Linked DNA regions of Lonchura striata. The protein of the gene in region 1 interacts with the protein of each later gene in a pairwise test. Links are inferred from orthologs where the notes say so. Each region holds a gene or a part of one and is shown on either strand. Other genes may lie near its edges.

What was found. The genes of interacting proteins can lie anywhere in the genome.
Region 2: the proteins of potassium voltage-gated channel subfamily A member 3-like (region 1) and CAV1 come close enough for resonance energy transfer, tested with the Homo sapiens proteins (2 studies listed by BioGRID). The link is inferred for Lonchura striata from reciprocal best matches to the Homo sapiens genes KCNA3 and CAV1.

Annotation. Positions count from the first base shown.
Region 1 is NC_134632.1:1,508,576-1,517,889, reverse strand, and holds the start of potassium voltage-gated channel subfamily A member 3-like, read left to right. Parts: upstream 1-5,488; coding exon 5,489-7,237; 3' UTR 7,238-8,745; intron 8,746-9,314.
Region 2 is NC_134607.1:34,681,632-34,691,861, forward strand, and holds the start of CAV1 (caveolin-1), read right to left. Parts: upstream 4,366-10,230; 5' UTR 4,242-4,365; coding exon 4,212-4,241; intron 3,447-4,211; coding exon 3,282-3,446; intron 1-3,281. UniProt on the Homo sapiens protein: May act as a scaffolding protein within caveolar membranes. Forms a stable heterooligomeric complex with CAV2 that targets to lipid rafts and drives caveolae formation. Mediates the recruitment of CAVIN proteins (CAVIN1/2/3/4) to the caveolae.

The DNA.
Region 1 (9,314 bases):
CATCCTGAGCTGTAACCCCTGGATCCCCAAAGGCTGGATGGGATTTAGCTCCATTAAAGCCGATGGATGATGGTGATGCTAAGTAATTTGACTGATCTTTTTTAGCCACTAGAACTTGTTCTTCACTTCCCAAGAAATACTCTTGCTCAATCCTCAGCTTTATGGGAAACAACCCATGAACAATAGCTGCTGTCCATGCTCAGTCATCTTGGGGTACCAGTTCAATTTTTACTTCCCCTCCCTCCCCCAGCCTGTTCTCTGAAGGCGTCCAGCAGTCGGAGAGGATCCCAGGGTGCCTGGGGTCCTGTGTGCCTGGTTTAAATTCCTGTCTGAGAGAGGCGTCTCCTCACTTCCCTGGCGAGCTCCCAGTGATGCTTTCCACCTGTGCCTAGGGCTGAGCAAGCTGCAGGGGTTACACAGCACTGGATTTTCCTCCCTCTTCCATATTTCAGTATCTTTCACAACTGAGAAAGGAGGAAAAACTCCGCAACTGGGAGTGCAGTGAAAAGCTTCTGGTGTAGGATTGAAATAAACTCCAGGTGGGAGGCGAGAAATACTCCCTCAAAGCACAGCTGAGAAACTGAGGCACGGAGGGATTGAAGGATTCACTCCACGGCTGAGCTATACCTGGAGTCTGACTAAGACAGCGACAGGAATAGGAATGGTGTGCTCCAGAGTTAGAGTTCTAAATCCATCCCGGAAAATCAAGATTCAGTTCCCATCCTTCCCACTGTCTCCCTGGACAGTGTTGGTGGAGAATTTGTCTTACCCCAGAGAGGGAAGCCTCACTGGATGCTTTTGTGGCTCAGTGAGAAGATGAGCTAGGATCCCTGATTTCTGGGAATGAGATGAGCCCATCTGGGAGTACACTGGGAATAGTGTCCCAGTTCTTCTGGAAGGGTGTGAGCTCACGGACTGCGGGGATGCTCCCACCTCCTGTCTCCATAGGGGAGAAGGTGAGGACGGCAGGACTGGCCAGTCTGGAACCAGAGGTTTTATTGTTCCACTTATTCCCTGATTGCTGATAGTCAGGACAAGGGGAAATGGCCTCAAGTTGTGCTGGTGAGGTTTAGGTTGGATATTAGGGGAAATTTCTTTCCCAAGATATGACACTATCACAGTCTCACCATGGCAATGGTGGAGTCCCCATCCCTGGAGGGATTTAAAAGACACATAGATGTGGCACCTGGGGACATGGTCTAGTGCTTGCCTTGGCAGTTAGGTGGACAGTTGGACTCCATCACCTTAGAGAGCTTTTCCAACCTAAACAAGTCCATGATTCTGTGATTCTGTGATTGCTCCGAGTTCATCTCAAAAGTCTGGGTTGATGCTGAACTGTGTTTGCTGCCAGCAGTCCCTGCAGTCCTGCCTGTGATTGGTGACCTGAGTGACAACCTCAATCCTTTCTCGAGGACATTTGTCCATTCTGAGCAGCACAGGAGGGCTCATGTTCCCGAGAGGAGAAACCTGGAGTGAGTTAAAGCTGCACTGCCTGGCTGGAGCAGTTGGGGCTTTGCTGTGGGAGGACTGACAATGCATTTGCAGTGCATTAAGGTATTACTGTAACTGCATGAGCGCTGAGAGGTTTCTGATCCTGCAAAGTAAAGATGAGCAGATTTGTCCCAGATTTATCAATGGAAGAAGAGTTCCCATTGAAACGGGAGGGAGGGGAAGGTGGGTGAGATCCTGCTCACAGCCAGGCTGGATTCTGTACACACTGCCTGGCTGCTGATGCTGCCATGGGGAGCTCTGTGGGGGAAAAGGACAACCCAAAATGCTGCTTCAGAGGCACTGGGATTCACCAAGAAGGAAGGAAAATTTCAAGGTGGAAGCAGGATGCCAAGGCAGCCCATGGCTGGGAATAACTGAGAGCTGGGATGAAGGCCCCACATGTTTTCTGCAGCCCATGTGCCCCCGGGAGGGGGATGCTGGGGTAATTCCCCTCATGGTCTGGGTCTGGCTGTGGAAAGAGGGAAGTTGTTCATCCCCTCTGCTTGGAAATCTGCCCTGAGAAGGCCATTAAGGGAGGAAAAAAGCAATGCTCGCTCTGCTTCCTCATAGAAACTGCATGTGCTGTTCCAGGGCAGCCTGTGGACCATTGCACAGGGGGATTTCTTAAATGGCCGTTAGGAACAAAATTAAATTTGTTGAGACCAGATGCAGCAGAAGAGATGGATGAAAAAGCAGTAGGAAATTTGCAGAGGGAACACTGGGACATCTCGCATTAGACAGCAAACCACATCCTGGAGGAGATGTTTTGGTGCTGCATCGAGCTCCCAGCTTATGAGAAAGCTTTGGCCAGGTTGGACACCAGGGAGATGTCCCTTCCCCTGGGCTTTCATTCCCCTTCCCTTGTGCTCAGACCTCCAGGTTTTGAAGCCTGGCCTAGGACCACCTCTATTTCTGCTTGACAAATGCCGGGCTTGTGCAGCTCCTGGATGCAAACTCCTGCAGGGAAGGCGGGTGAGGCTGGCGGGGGCTCACAGGGGAGGTGATGCCCTTGCTGCATCCCCGATGCTGCCCCAAAGCTCTGCTGGAGAGCCAGGGGAAAGCAGGAGCTGAGGGAAGGGCTGGGGAGGATCTGCCCCTCGGCTGCTCTCCGCCTGCAGCGCTGCTGCTCGCCTGGCACAGCCTAATTGGCTTTGATAGGATTACAGGGAAGCAGCGGAGGAGTAAACAGGGCCAGGAGGCCACGGCGGGATGGGAGAAATCCCAGCTCGACTCCCGACCAAAGCCGCCGGAGCTCAGGGGTTAATGTCTGCTGCTGTGCTGCAGCTGGGGGGTACCAGCTTAATCCTGATGCTCTTAAAGGAAAGGATTTTCCAAGCAGTATCCCAAAGGTCTGTGGCTCTCTCGGTAATTCCTGATGGGTTTGCCCCTGACAGATGCAGAGTAAATTATTGCAATTATGGAAGTTACACCTTGTGCCTCGAACCTTGTGTCTTCAATAAATGGTTATGGTTTGAGGCAGCCTCATTTGTTTGCCTTAAACCAGACAACACTGATTTATTGGCAGAAATCCTAGCAGGGAAAAGGGATGAGCCAGACAAGTTTTTAGCCGCCACACACATATATGTGGTGAAGGGATGATGGTTATTTCATTTTCATGAAAATAAAGCCTCAGACTTGTGTGTGAAGGATTACAGGATTTTTTCCCAACCTACAGGCAACAAGGGGAGCTCAAGGGTTAATGGTGCTCCAGGGCTTTGCTTCCTGCCTTGTCTGGGTTTTGGGATGGCTGGGAGATGCTGTGGGTTGGGAGGGAGGAGGAGATGCTCTCCCTGCGAGTATGGTGCTGGTTAGCACCATGACCTGCTGCAGGAATGGTGGGGGAGCAACCTCCCAACTCCCTCCTCCCAGGACATCCACACCCTCAAGAAAAGCAGCTGTCAAAATTGGGGCTTAAAGCCAAGGCTGGAGCTAGCAACAAGGGACTTGTGTCCAAGTCTGGGGTGGGGTGACATGGCCTGGAGACAATTCTCCTTGTGTGGGGCCATCCATCTTTCCATGCACACCTTGCTGGGACTCATTCCCTCGGGAATTCTCCAGGGTTTCTGTGGCAGAGGGTGTTTCCCCCCTGTCAGCAAAGAGGTCAGTGGGCTCAGCCCAGCCAGGCTCCATCCTCACTGTTCATCTGCCATTCAGGGTCTTGAAATCAGCTCTTGCACCAGTATTTATTGTTGTTACCTCCCCAGATTTGGGTATTTTGGACAGCTTGTTTCTGATTTAAAGTATAAATAAGTTTGATCTTTTCATCTGTTGTTCCCCCTACCTTCTGAAGGCTGTGCTGGTTAAAAATAACTGGGATGATGAGCTCAAGTGGGGATGGTGGAGGGGTTTTAATCTCCATCGTGGCAGGACCACCCATCTGGCTCTGGAAGGGAATGTAGGCCCTCTCCTCTCCTCTCCTCTCCTCTCCTCTCCTCTCCTCTCCTCTCCTCTCCTCTCCTCTCCTCTCCTCTCCTCTCCTCTCCTCTCCTCTCCTCTCCTCTCCTCTCCTCTCCTCTCCTCTCCTCTCCTCTCCTCTCCTCTCCTCTCCTCTCCTCTCCTCTCCTCTCCTCTCCTCTCCTCTCCTCTCCTCTCCTCTCCTCTCCTCTCCTCTCCTCTCCTCTCCTCTCCTCTCCTCTCCTCTCCTCTCCTCTCCTCTCCTCTCCTCTCCTCTCCTCTCCTCTCCTCTCCTCTCCTCTCCTCTCCTCTCCTCTCCTCTCCTCTCCTCTCCTCTCCTCTCCTCTCCTCTCCTCTCCTCTCCTCTCCTCTCCTCTCCTCTCCTCTCCTCTCCTCTCCTCTCCTCTCCTCTCCTCTCCTCTCCTCTCCTCTCCTCTCCTCTCCTCATGGTCAAACTCTTGGTCCAGTGCAAGGAGTGCCCATGGCAGGGGCGTGGAATGAGATGAGCTTTCAAGTCCCTTTCAACCCAAATCATTCCATTACTTTTTCCCAAGCTAGGAGCTCCCTGAATTGCCTAAACCCCCTTGGCACATGGCTGGGCATTAAAGTGTTTCAGTTACTGCAGGGGGTTGGAAAAATGGGGAGCTGGGGGAGAGCTGGGAGTGCAGAGATCAGAGGGTGTCCCTCATGCACGTTTCCTGGGGATGGGGTGTTTTCCAGCTCAGGGCTCCTGCAGAGGAGGTTTTTGCCTGAAAAGTCCCTTTTGCTCACAATTGAATATTTGCTTTAAAAGATCAACTGAAGAGAGAAAGAAAGAAAAAGAAGTAGAAGGGGTTTGGCTTTCTTGATGGAAAGTCTGAAATGCAGGTTTGGGTTCAGCCTGAAGCCTCCTTGGTAGAGGGCTGGCTCTGCTTCTGGGTTTATTTTGGTGGGGGAAGCACACGCACACACACACGTGTGCACCCACACTCATGGACACACACACATGCACATGCTCTCCTAGACAGAGAAAAACAATCCCCAGCCCAACCCAGACGCTGATTCAAAACAACTGTTGGGTCTGGCCACGCTACCGGCTTTGCACTGCCCACAGCCTCCCACCGTGTGAAACCGTAGCTGAAAACCGACAGGCAAACGCGAAAATTCAGAGTCAAAATTGCATTTCACCTGGGGAAGGGCAGAAGAACTCTTTCTAGGCAGCAGTTCTGGCAGGAAAAACCCCTCTTCCTGCTTGCAGCCCGCTGAGCAGCAAAGGATGCTCCCGAGAGGAGACGGAAGCCCCTCGGCGCTGCCTGGGGGATGGATGGGGCTCCCCCAAGCAGGGGCGTGGGAGGGGATGCCCGCAGCTGGCGGGGGGCTGCGGGGCAGGGCCGGGGGGCTGGTGGGTGTCTCCGGGAGCGGTGACCGAGTGAGGCGGTGCCAGGGCTGGGGGCGGATTTTTTGAGAAGAGCCTCAGCTCTTCAGAGCAGCGGCAGCCGCTGGAGGAGTTGGGCGGCTGTTGCTCCCTCTCCGCCCGGAGGAGGAGGAAGAGGAGGAAGAAGAGGCTTCAGCTGCCGCCTCTCGGATCCCCCCTCCCCCCCTTCCCCTTCCGCCCCACACCTTTATGGACGAGCGCCGGAGCTTGCTGTACTCTCCGGCCGCCTCCTCCGCCGGCCGGCAGCCGCGGGGCGGCTCGACCAGCAGCCACCACAACCTGGGCTACAGCGAGCCCCCCGCCGCCCCCCAGCCGGGCCCCGAGCAGCAGGAGGAAGAGGGCGAAGAAGGGGAGGAAGGCAGCATGACCGTGGTGGGAGGCGGCGGCGGCGGCGACCCTTTGCTGGAGGAGCCGCAGCATCCTCCCGCGCCGCTCGGGGGGGAGCGCTACGATCAGCCCCCGGCGCCGGCCGTGCCCGCCGGGCAGCCCGCGGGCGCTGCGGAGCACGAGTGCTGCGAGCGCGTGGTGATCAACATCTCGGGGCTGCGCTTCGAGACCCAGCTCAAGACCCTGGCACAGTTCCCCGAGACGCTGCTGGGGGACCCCCGGAAGAGGATGCGCTACTTCGACCCCCTCCGCAATGAGTATTTTTTCGATCGTAACCGTCCCAGCTTCGACGCCATCCTCTACTACTACCAGTCGGGCGGGCGCATCCGGCGTCCCGTCAATGTCCCCATCGACATCTTCTCCGAGGAGATCCGCTTCTACCAGCTGGGGGAGGAGGCCATGGAGAAGTTTCGGGAGGACGAGGGTTTCATTCGGGAGGAGCAGCGGCCGCTTCCCGAGAAGGAGTTTCAGCGCCAGGTGTGGCTCCTCTTCGAGTACCCCGAGAGCTCTGGGCCGGCCCGAGGCATTGCCATTGTCTCTGTCCTGGTCATCCTTATCTCTATTGTCATCTTCTGTCTGGAGACCCTGCCTGAATTCAGGGATGACCATGACTATGAGGGAACTGGGGGGACCTTCGGGACAGGCAGCGGCCCTCTCCCACCTGATGTCTTCACCAACTCCACATCCTCACCTGCTTCCATGGTGTCATCCTTCACCGACCCTTTCTTTGTGGTGGAGACTTTGTGCATCATCTGGTTCTCCTTTGAGCTGCTGGTCCGTTTCTTTGCCTGCCCCAGCAAGGCCACTTTCTCCAAGAACATCATGAACATCATTGACATTGTGGCCATCATCCCCTACTTCATCACGCTGGGCACGGAGCTGGCTGAGCGGCAAGGCAATGGCCAGCAAGCCATGTCCTTGGCCATCCTCAGAGTCATCCGCCTCGTCAGGGTCTTCCGCATCTTCAAGCTCTCCCGGCACTCCAAGGGGCTGCAAATCCTGGGGCAGACCCTCAAGGCCAGCATGAGGGAGCTGGGTTTGCTCATCTTCTTCCTCTTCATCGGCGTCATCCTCTTCTCCAGCGCCGTTTACTTCGCGGAAGCCGATGACCCCAGCTCGGGGTTCAGTAGCATCCCTGATGCCTTCTGGTGGGCTGTGGTCACCATGACCACCGTGGGCTACGGGGACATGCACCCCATCACCATTGGGGGCAAGATCGTGGGGTCTCTGTGCGCCATCGCGGGGGTGCTGACCATCGCCCTGCCCGTGCCCGTCATCGTCTCCAATTTCAACTATTTCTACCACCGGGAGACAGAAGGTGAGGAACAAGCCCAGTACATGCATGTCGGGAGCTGCCAGCACCTCTCGTCCAGCGAGGAGATGAAGAAGGCTCGCAGCAATTCCACCCTCAGCAAGTCCGAGTACATGGTGATTGAGGAAGGGGGGGTCAATCACAGTGCATTCAAACAGGCTGCCTTTAAAGCAGGCAACTGCACAACCACAAACAATCCCAACTGTGTGAACATCAAAAAGATCTTTACGGATGTTTAAAACAAACCCAAACCAAACGAACAGTGACGAAATCTGAGGATGCGGTACAACAATACCAATAATAATACCAATAATAATGCAAAGTGACTGTGTGTCGGTGTTGTGTGGAACATGCACCATCGTCGGTCCTGTGTGTGCCCTCGTTTTTATACCTTTATTTTTTTAGATCCTTCCTTTCTAAAGATCCAAAAGTAAAAGGATTTAAAATTCTCTGAAAAAGAGGACAGCTAAAGGATAAAGAGAAGGAAGATGAAGAAAAACCACACTCACTGTCAAAACAGGTGTTTTTTCTGCAACGTGTTGCAGAGCTGCTTTGCTTTTTGGGCTTACGGAGAACCTCTTCCTTTGCTCCTGAATTTCTCCCTCTTTCCCTAAGGGCAATGTGTAGCCAATCTCCCTTCCATCACATCAAGTAACTTATTGGATTAACAAACTCGGACTGGGTGGAGGAACGAGGGAAAAATGAGGCAGAGTGTACTGGGAGGGGGCTGGGAGGAAATAATAATTTAATTCTGCAGAGAGTCTCTGTTACCACATCGTTAAATGATGCTTAATATTGAAACATGTGATGTGCCATTACGGGCACATCCCAGATTCCCTTTTTCTCCCCATTAGATCATTTATGAAATTCTAATCTGGTCAGAGACTGAGTGCAATCAATGCTGATTTAAATAGAAAAAAATTCCCTAAGCCTTCGTTTTCTATTCTGGATTCCCTTCCCCTGTAACCTGATGGAGTTATTTCCTCCGATGTCAAGTCTGTGGCCATGCAGCAGGGATGAGTACAGGAGGAGGGAGAGGAGAGGCAGACTGGAATGTTTTCGGGAGCCGCCGGCGCACGGAGCGATGTCGGCACGGAGCAGGATCCAGGACGGGCTCCTTGCTATGGCTGGGAGCCTCCAACCCACCCAGCCGCAGACAAAGGGATATTTCCTCCTCATTTTGCAATGCCTTTGGAGGAGACGCAGCCGCTTATCGCCAGAAGATTAAAGTGGCGAACACGCCTTCCAGCGGAAGTCACTAATTCCGACGGAGTGATGCAGTTGCCATGGTGACCATGGTTTCCTGGGAAACCCCCAGAGGTTGTCATGGCATCCCTTCTCCCATCCCCCTTGGTCCTTGCTCTTCCCGCAAAAAGCCTTTCCAGATGGTTCCAGCTCCTCCATCCCACGGGACATCGTGGCTCCTGCACCCCCTTCCTGGTTCCTGTCCCACTGCTCCTCCTGTGTGCCCAACAAAGCGTCCACAGGCAATAAAAAATCCACCTGTCCCTCACCTTGGCAGTGAAATCTGGGGATGGAGGTTCATCCTGCTCCACCGAGAACGACCCCAAACCCAGTGGGAACAGGCACCAAGCTTGGCCGGAGAGCCTCGGCAGCTTTGTGAAACAAGGGGGACAGTAAAAAACAGGATTGCAAAATAACCAAAAATGTCGCTGGGAAAAATCACAAATCACCGGCTTCATCTTCACGTGTATGCCAGGGGCTATGGGACATCTGATGGGATCAGGTGAGTTCTGCACAGGGGAGAGTTCAATGGAGTCATAGTGTTGGGGTTTTTTTGGGCAAACCCCATGCTTTCCACTGCTTACTTTTATTCTCCAGCTTCTCCTGCCGCTCTCGGGTATTTTTATACATGTTAGATAAAGTGGGATCACATCCTAGAGCTCCTCTGATTGTATTTGCTTTTTAGTGCTGTGGGAGGAGGAAAACCCTGCTGCTTCTCTGCAGCTGGATTGCTTCATTTCTGTGCTAAAAAGGTGTTTTCAGTGGTTTAGTGCTCCCATCCAGCCCCTGCCAGACTGACAGGCCAAAAGCAGCTTGGCCTCAAGAGCTTTGGCTCCAACTCTGCTCAGTTTTGCAGGATTTTGCATTCAAAAAAGCCAAATTCCTCTGAGGTAGCACATGGAACAGGCGTGTTGTTAAATACCTAAGAGAAATTTGGCCCCGACCCGTGCAAGTCACACCTTTCCTAAGGCTGTGGAGAGAAGGCCTTGTCCTGAGAGACGCTGGCCATGCCAAAATTGCAGTTTAGCTGGGATTTTTCCCAGACTCAGAAGGATCTAGATGGTTTGCAGC
Region 2 (10,230 bases), on another chromosome or scaffold:
AAATGAAAGTTATTCTTATTTATCCTTGTAACAACAGAAACTGAAAATTTCCAATGCTTTTTTGTATAAATACTGCTGGCTTTATGATGTAAAATGGATCCTGTCTGGTTAACATAAAATTCATTTTATATTCCTATGTCTTGATGTGACTGTGTTCACTACCAGGAGCTAACTTGCTGACATAGAGGTAATACTGGTATTCTGGCTGTTTGTTTTTCAGTGAATATGTCCATAATTATTTCAAAAGGAAAAACTTGTTTTTTCCATTCCTATACTTATTACTCCTCAAGTTTATTTTAGAAGACAGAATGTAACAAATTTCCTTAATCCTTGCCTCTGTGGGAGGCAGAGAGGGCATGATAGGCTTTGTAGGTTTCAGCTTCTTTCAAAGCCATTGCGTTTTTCTTCTGTCAGTGGTCTCCCTCTTTTCCCGTCAGGGTCTTTCTTTCATTAGGTCATGTTGTGGACACCAGAATTCTGACTTGCTTGGGAGCTATGACTCATCCTCAGAAGGTCTGGTTGCTTTGGGGACTTCTCCTGTTGACATACGCAATAAACTGTGATGCAGTGCTGTTCATGAGCTCTGGCATTCCCTGTCTACTCAGCTGCTCCTCCATGGTAGAAGAAAAAAGAATTGCTCTCTCCTTTTTAAAATAATCCGTTTTAAAGGCAGTTTTGTACAGTTAGGTACACAGATGATTTTTTCTAAACAAATAACAATTTTATGCCTTTTAATTGTTGTGCGACTCCTTAAAGATACAGGCTACTGTGATAATTCTTAGCATGGATCCAGAAATATGACCATGGCTTGTCATATTCAGCACCTTCAAACTCCGTTGAAACATGGAATTTGAATTTACTTATGACCTTGTTAAATTGTATGCACATAGCATGAATAATTTTACAGATACACATTAAGGATCCAGAGTTCATCCTCTTGATTCTCTGGAAACAATATAGTATTTTTCTTTTTCAATAACAGGTCTTCATTACAACAAACATGGTGAATTGCACACACTGGCACTGCTGGCCACTAAGCAAGCCAGTTAGTGGTTTGGTCACCCACTATAACTGGGCAGCTCCCGTTTTTCTTAGGGTCTGACAAACCCAGATGACAGCATCCTCAGTTTTCACACTGCAGTGGTGTATTCCTCTCTCCATCTTTCCAGGCTGCATGCAGTGTGATCTGAGAAATGCTTGTTAGGCCTTGGCTTTGGAAACACCACCTGGGCTCAGCTCTTTTCAAGCTTATCAGAAACACTGTCTGCTCCCAGGAATTGCTAACAAGCTGCTGTTTTCCTTATGACCACCCTTGGAAAATATTCCACCTACCTGAATGGCACAACATTCCTGTTTCCACACTTATGGAGAAAGTGAGGACACAAACCCTGAACAGGATGAAACATTGTTATGACAAAAGCCTATAGGCTCTTGCAAGCCTCTAAACAGCAGTCCAAAATGGGACCCTTTGAGGTCTCCTGGACTGCAGCAAGCTACAAACAGCAACCTCCCTCTGAGCGAGATGCCTCTCAGAGCCTCATGTATGGAGGATCACTGAAACAAGCTGTATCCTGGGCCAATATGCACGCTCCTCAAGGCCCAATCCTTTGCCCATTGGGAGATGCAAGAGCATCCAAAGTGAGTATTTGATTGATCTCTGGGGGGAATTTTTCACAGGCACCTTGCTTGCACTGACTCCTCATGTCCTTGTGCATGCCTCTGTGCATATGCTGTAGCAAATCAAAGAAATACTGCTTTCTTAGCTGTCTAAGTACCTTGGTTATCTAAGTAAGTTAGGCAAGTGAGGAAGGTTATGTTAAAAACTCACTTAAATGCTGTTAAGTATTGTTCTTTTGCTAAATTGTTAAACATAAGTTATAAGCTACGTGTTGCTAAGAGTTGTTCTTCTGATGAGTTGCTAACTTCAAAATTATGAATTAGGTTAAATGCTCTTCAGTGTTATTCTCAGTAAATTGCTACAGTTAGGTTAAGTTGTAAATTAAATTTAAGCTATAAAATAGGTATAAGTTAAGTGTTCTTCCTATGTTAAATTGTTAGGCTTAAGGTATAAGTAAAATTGGAGTGCTGTTAAGCTTTCAGGCCCTGTTCCTTTTTATCCTTGCCCACGCTATCTTTTGTCACACACACACCTAAGGGAGCACACACCCCTATATAGTTCTCAGTTCATTACTGTTTTGATTGCCTGGATTTTGTTTGGTTTTCTTGTTGCTTGTTTTCCCTTGTTGTGCCTTGGCTGTCCTATGAGTAGTAGAGTTAGTCTTGCCAATGAATTTTTCGTGCTTTGCCACTTAATATTAAATCTGATTTTTCGTCATATCCTTGCCGATGACTTTTTAACTGATCTCAAACACTCTCGTTCATAACACAAGGATTGTACAAATTTGTCTGTATAAATTCTTTTTCTACAAGAAAAGCAATCTCTGTGATATTTCTGACCAAAGTGACTTCAAGCAAAAATCTCCATCGACCCTGACTTGTCAAAACAGTCAAACTGATTTATAAACCCAAACAAAAAAAATCTAGGCAAGGGCACAGTTAGATTTTGCTTAGCTTGCTTATCATCTTTTGAAGGAAGGGAAAACACCAAAGAGAACAAAACAGAACAAGGACATGAATCCAACCGCCACTAGAATCTCTTGATTTTGCACCCGCCAGGCTTAGAGAGGGCGATCTGGTTTGTGACATCTCCCCGCCCTGCCTCTCTGCGTGCCTTGGGGAAGGAAAATCCTTCCGACGGTGTTACACAAGGTCACGCAACTCATCCCCCCGCTCCCCGGGCGGGACGTCCCGGCTGCAGAGCTGGCTGCCGGCACACACCGCGGGCACACACCGCGGGCACACACCGCGGGCACACACCGCGGGCACACACCGCGGGCACACACGCACCGCGGGCACACACCGCGGGCACACACCGCGGGCACACACGCACCGCGGGCCCCGCCCGGCTGCGGCGAGCCCAGCCCGGAGCGGCCCCGCGGGACAGCGCGGCCAGCCCGAGACGCGGCCGGCCCCGCTCCGCACCGCAGCGAAGAGCTCCGCAGGGCTGCCCTGGCCGCTGCACGCCTCTCTCATGCCCACTCCGCCTTTTCTTTAAAAAAAACCCCAAACCAAACAAAATCCGATCAGCCCCTAGCCCGTTCCCTCCTGTAGCAGGTGGAGGGATGTGGTCCGCGGGCTTCAGCCGTCCTGACAGTTCCCGCGTATCCTGCCTCGGCAGGACTTGGTATCGACCCCCGCGACACCCCGCCTCGCCCCCTCACCTTAACCACGTCGTCGTTGAGGTGCTTGGGGTCTCGGTTGACCAGGTCGATCTCTTTGGTGTGCACATCGTGCACCGCCTTTTCGCTCAGCTCATCTGCCATCATCTTGTTGTTGGGCTTGTAGATGTTGCCCTGCTCCCGGACGGGCGCAGTGTACAGAAAACCCTGCGGAGAGCAGAGGGAGCGCGGGCAGGAGGGGAGAGCCCAGTGAGGCGGGGAGAGGCGGGGAGGGGCGGGGAGGGCAGGGCAGGGCAGGGCCGCTCCGGTCCGCGCAGGAGGGCGGGCTGGGGAGGCGGCCCCGGGTCCCGCGGGCTCCGGGCTGCGGGGCGGCCTCGGCCGGCTATTTAACCGCGGCCGCGGGCGCACACCACACCCCCGCCGTGCCAGGCGCCGGCTCCCGCTCCCGCCGCCAGGCGGCCCCGGCCCCGCGGCGTTGCCCCGGGACGGAGCGAGTGGCCCCTCGCTGGGGTGGGCGCTGGCGTGGCCCCGCGGGCACGGCAGGGAGCGTCCGGGGCTCGCCGCACAGCGCCCTCCCCGTACTGCCCTCGCCCTACCGCCCATGCTGTGCTGACCTGGGCACGGCGCCTGTACCACCCTGACCTCACTATACTTGCCCCTCTCTCTATACCGCCCTTCATTCAGGGCCATCACCGTACCCTCTCCATCCCAGTGCTCTCGCTGTAGAGCTCTCCATACACCGCTCTTCCCGCACGACACCCAGCAGCTCCCCTCCCCGCGCCCCGCCGGGGACGAGCGCCCCGGCTTCCCCTGACCCGCCGCCCCGGCCCGCAGGTGCCCGGCCGTCCGCCCTCCTGCCGCCGAGCCACCCCTCGCCCCGCTGCTCCGATGGGTCAGGGAGCCTGGGGTCCGAGCCGCTGCAGGCAGTCGGCGGCGGGGCAGCATCCTAGCCCCATGGTCCGGTGGTCCTACCTCCGAGTCTACGTATTTGGTGCCGGACATGCTGCCGCGGGCTGCTGACGGCTCTGCCGCGAGTTACTCTGCCCTGTGACTTGTAGGACCGGAGGCAGGACGATTCCGCTGTGCGGAGCGACCGGCCGGGGGAGGTAGCTGCGAGGAGAGGGCTGGCCGCTGGCCAGGGCGGTCCCGGCCTCCGGCCGGGCTGGATGACAGCGGCGGTACGGCCCCGCACACGGCGGGCGGCCGGGAGCCGCCGGGGTGGGAGGGGAAAACAGCCCTGCCCCGGCAACCTGGGATCGGGCGGACCCAGGTCCGTGCGGAGACAGGGACTCGACGGGGAGAGGGACACGGTCTCCTCCGCGAAGTCCGCCCTGGTCCGGCTGCCCACGACCCCCACCCCCGTCAGTGGGACGCGACAGTGGCTGCGTGCGGCAGAGCCACCTGGGCAAGATGGGGGGGTGGAGGGGGTGGGGCAAGGAAGCAGTGAGGAAATGGAAAACTTTAATTGTGTTCAGCATCCAGAGCGAGCGAGGTGTTTGCCGGGCTCCCCTCTGCCGGCTTTGACAATAGTTTACACAGAAGCATCGCTGCTGTAGGAACAATTGTGAAAACTTGGATATACCTGGGATGAAGAAATAGAGATTTTTCTCAATTGGTTCATTTCAAAACTATTCAAATATTTAACACTTCTGCACGTTAACACTGCTCTATTTTTCCCGGGAAGAGATTGATCCATGCATGTCTGCCATGCACATTAACCACTGGGATTAACTTTTAAAGGGGAACAGTGTGACACCATTTTGCCATGCTCTGTTCTCAAGGCTTTTTGTAAGCTCAGGGGCATATGTAGATGTACATGGTATAAATATAAACATTCATCACCGTATTCAAGATGGCTAAGGTTAGTGTCGCAGCATTACTTTACATTTAAAAAATGAATTATATTTCATTTTTTTTGTGTGAATGTGTTTGCAGCTAATAGTGTTGTGTTAGGAAATCAGACTATGGTGAAAGATTTATAACATTAACAGAAAAATTGTGACCTTAGTGTTATGCCATTTAGCACAGAATTGCAGCAGAAAATTCCTAACTGCAGTATATTTGGCTTTGGCGCTTCAACAGAGAAATGACCTCGAAGAAGCCCCTGGCTAAGATGGATTTAGGTGCCACAGATGTAAATAACTGCACCTGTTGGAAATGCAGTCCACATGGACATGTGTTGCTGATACATTGGTAAGCAGTCAACTTTCCTTTATATTGCTTGTAAACTTTGGAACAAATGCCTTGGATGGAAGATTTCCAACTTTCCAAGTTAGTTGTAATTTTTAAAAGTAACTTTTTATTGATGCAATAATTCACTTAAGCCATTGTTAGAATATTTTTGCCTGTCCAAGCTTTTTAGCGTGAATATGCACCCAAATGAGTGTATTAAAGGACACAGACCCTGCAATTTTTCCATCCATCTGAAAAAAAAATTGCAAGACAGTTCTTTGTTTTCATATCCAGGAAATTTTTCAATTAGTCACTGTCTTCCATATGAATCAGAACATTTTGATCCATCATTTAATATGACTCTATATCTCAAGAATGACTTTAAAGAAAGAGAAATAAGAGAGATACTTGTCAATTTGAAATGCTGAATTGATCCTGGAATAGTTTTTCAGAACCACAGTCCCCTTTAAAAAATATTTCTGAATCACACAACACTACTGCAGCTAGAATAATATCATAAACTAGTGGAATTTGTAAGTTTTATGAGATGAATTCCAGAATAGGCTGCATACAAAGTGAAATGAACATTAGCAGTGCTTTCTGGAGCTGGAATATCAAGAGGATAGGCTATTTAGAAAAAGGTATGGGTACTACTAAGCAGTAAGAGTGAGCAAGTTACATCTGCAGAGATGGAAAGGGATGAAGCCATGGCCTGTTGCCTCTAGCACTGCTGCATGAGAAATACACACTAACTCAACAGCCAGAGACCTGTGGCATGGATGCACACAGGTACAACCAACTCCTATGGCATGAATGCACACAGGAGTTCTGCAAGGATCCCCTGTTACACTCAGAGGAAGAGTAATAGCTCAATGGGAAAGAGCCTTGCAGAAATGTTCTGAAAGTGCAAAGGCTCCATTCCCCTTCTCAGTTACTATGAATAGATTATCCAGGGGTGGCCAGAAATTACCAGAAATTGTAAACACTCAAACTGGCCTTTGAAACACCAGCCAGTCTTCTCATGGAGCTTTGCTGTGTCTTTAGTAGTCCAGGTCAATTGCTAAGCAGGACTACATGACACCTTGGTTGGCCACCTCACTGCCTTTCTTCATCACGCCAGCCTTACGCATTTCATACCTATTTTAAAGAAATTTTTATTGCTTCAAAACCTTTTTACTGAAATTTCAAACCTCAGGATTACCTTAGTTAAAAACTTGCTCTAAACCTGGAGCAATGTGCAATTTATGATTTTTTTTTTTCCACTTTGAGGGGAGAAAAAGTTTTGTTACGGGTAGTATTCCCAGAAACCAGTGGGGGAAAAAAAAAGGATTTAACAAAACCCCTCAAAAACTGGCAGAAAATTAGTTATGAAACTGACTTGAATGTGGATGACTGCTCACTGTCTTTGTCAGGTAACAAACACTCCTTCTTTCTCCATTCCTCACCCCCCTTTTTGTTTTAAGCTTGTGTAGTTATTCCAGTTATGGTATTAGCAACACTCCTGATATATTCCAATGTCAGCAAGATCGAAATCAACCCTGGGAAACTGTTTCCTTTATGTATAGTTTCAACACCAACAAGGCTGTCAGGTAACAGAGGCAGTCCATGAGCAGCCTGCCTTACGCAGAGCACTTAAAAACCTGAGGCTTAGGAGTGAAAGATCATTGCTTGTGTGTCTTCTGTTCAACTCTTAACCACATCATTTTATGTATGGTTTTGTATGTTTTGCTGGATAAAAGCCTTAGCTGCCAAAACTGTTGGTACTGAGTTTTTAGCAGTCTTGCTACTGTTTTCACCCTGTTGTGCATGATAACAAGCATTAGGATAGGATTAGCATGCAGGCCAATGTTTTCCTCATTCCATTATTTAAAGACTTGTAGTCCTAGAGGATTCATGGTGGTCATGCCGCCCCCACTCTCTGGAGGGGTTCTGTATTTTAAAATGTAAATCACTGGATCAGAATTTTCCTATAGAGACAGGTTCCCCTCACCCTAGTATACAGGGCTGCAGGTTCACGTACACATTTGGTATTTGGCCTGTTTGTGCCATTAATCCAAGGATTAGTTATAGCTGGAGAGATGGGTAGCTCTTCTCACATTCCTTCTGTCTCACAACTTCTAGATAGGAGTGATTTCATTTTATGTGCAAGTGATGCTGCCACAAAGCATTTCACAATAGCCTAAGGGCTAGAAGACTCAAGCCAACACCTGAGAAACCTGAAATCAATTTTTGCCTGAGGCATGCCACTGCATTTGGACTCACTCCTGGGAAACTGTATTTTGGGAAGTACCTTATTCTGCTGATACACAGTTAAGTATATTTTGAGGAGTCTAAGGCCCCCCTTTTGGGGTTCTGACTGGGCTTAGATGAGAAAGATGCCAAGTTGCTCAAATAAGGGCAGTTCTGGGCATGACAAAAGTAAAACTGTAGGCATTGTGGGGGGTTATGGGAAAGGGAGGTGCCTTTTGAGTTCAGACATGTTCCTGGTGGGTGGCAGCTGGGCAGGGATTACAGTTTTGGATCAAAATGCATGGCTTTTTCTGCTCTCAGTCTTTTATTAGAGCTAGCCCCTGTAGGTCTTTATCAAGATAGCTTGTAACTGCCTTGACTGGAGAGGCAAATAGATAGAAAGCTTTATTTCTGCAAGACTGTAAAACTTAGTCACTCATTCTCAACCCTTTTCAGTATCAAATACCTTGAAAACTGAGCTGGTCTGTGAACAGTGGTCTATGTCAATGCTGGTCTGTACCTTTCTTCTAGTTCTACAGTATTATTAAATGTTCATGTGTTTTATAGAAAATGTCAGACTATGAGAACTTGTCTCATTAATGGGACTTAACTACCCACTCCTTAAGGCTTATGTAGGATGGGCTTTTTGTCACTGCTTCTCTGCTTCTCTACCTAAGCATTGCCTGGGCAAAACCCTAGCTGATAAAGTTGTGATAGCTCTAATACTGTAAAATAAAAAAGCAAAATCAGGTACATAGGGTGAAAAGGCAGGTCTTACTGAGCTGAGACTGTTGGAAAAATAGACAAGCTTTCCTCAAGGTTTTAAATAAAAGTGAATCTCTATATTTTATCCCATCTGAGTGTCTTAAGTAGGGTCTGAATCAGTGCTATATGAAGGAGTCCTTCTTTCTCCCACTTGCAATTGGAAGGGAAGGCAATACAACAGCCAAAACCGAACACCTAACACACATGACACTCACCCCTGGCATCAAGTTGTGAGAGAAGTGCGCAGAGAAGAATCTGCTTCACTATTTTATGAAACTCTAGTTGCTTCCATTGGCCTTGCCAATTTCTGCAGCAAATACAACTTTTTATGTAGCACACCAAAGAAGCCAAGCCAAGCCAAGCCCAGCCCTGCCCAACATTTTGCATTAATCAGTACAGACTCTTTTCTCTGGAGGATGATTCAAAGCAGGAACCTATCTTAGCTCCTCTGAACTGCCCCTCAGAAGATGTTTTCCTTTTGTTACAATAAGCTTAGGAAGATTAGTGTAACCAAGATATGGTTAGCCTTTATTAATTAGCCTAATTTGTCAATCCCTGCATGAAGAAAGTACCTCCAATTTTAATGCCTAACTGCTGGTTCAGAATCTCTGACCCAGCAGTTCAACTCTAATTTTCACCATCACAGACAACAGACAACACTGGTAAAGTGTCTGGTGTTTGACCTTGTTCCATTTGCATTTTTATTAAAAAAAAAACCCAAACAGATGTAGTTTTCCATGTTTTTTTAAAAGAGTTAATAACAGCAATAGTTTTATCTCTGCAGGTGGGGAAATGATCACACCCTGTAAAAATAAAGGACTTATCATTCTTTGGCTTCTACTTTATAAGAGTGTGTGGTCTGAGGTCCCAGAGCTGCAGGGATGTTCTGAACTTTTTAGTCAGTGAATGCTTAAGTGAACTTTTTGGAAAGGTGGGAACAGACTCCTCATTTACTAATACATGAAAGTTTCTGTTAAGAATTTGTTTCAATTTATACAATGGACTACCAGGGTGGTGAAATATAAGATACAAATATAGAAGTTCCAGAATCAGATTAGGAGCATTTTAGGAAACAGCTCTCATAAGTAAGCAGGTTAAACTTCTCCATTAATTTAAATTAAGAAATCCATAAACACAAATCCAGGGTGAGCTCTGTATGTTAGTTGTGATCTTCATGAAAAACAAGATGCTGAAATATTTTGTAAGTCAGAACTGAGTTTCCAGCTCATGGTTGTAGACCTAAGGTCTGCAGTAACAAGAGACAGGCTGAAATAAAAACACCTCACACTTATTATTTGTAATGCCTCTACCATCATGCTGGAAAATCTACTCTTGTTACATTTTCCCCATTCCACAGACATGAAGATTCATCACAGTAATCTGAACCTAGTGTAAATTTTCTTACATTTGTTGCAGACAATGAGACTCAGTTTCTGGACTCTCTTGCCTAAATTCTCATTTGTAAGTTGCTTTTAAGGGATCAGCTGGGACGGTTTGTCCACATTTCAAACAAATTGGAGACAAACCTGCTCCCACATCTTAGAACACAATTCAGAGCTAGTTCCCATTCAGTCCCTGTTGTCCAACAGCACTGTGAGGTATTCACAGTATATGCTGTGCCAGACCTTCAGGATATATGTCAGAACCATAAAATCCTGAGAATGCTTGCCAGCCAGAGTTGCCTGGGGCAGACTCACACCTGAGTATTGGAGAGTCTGTAAATATTACTACTTTCTTCCACTCCTTTTACAGACAAAGTATTTGCCAAGCATCTAATATTTTACCCAAAGTCTGAGAGTGCACTTTTTATTTTCTTATAGTAAAG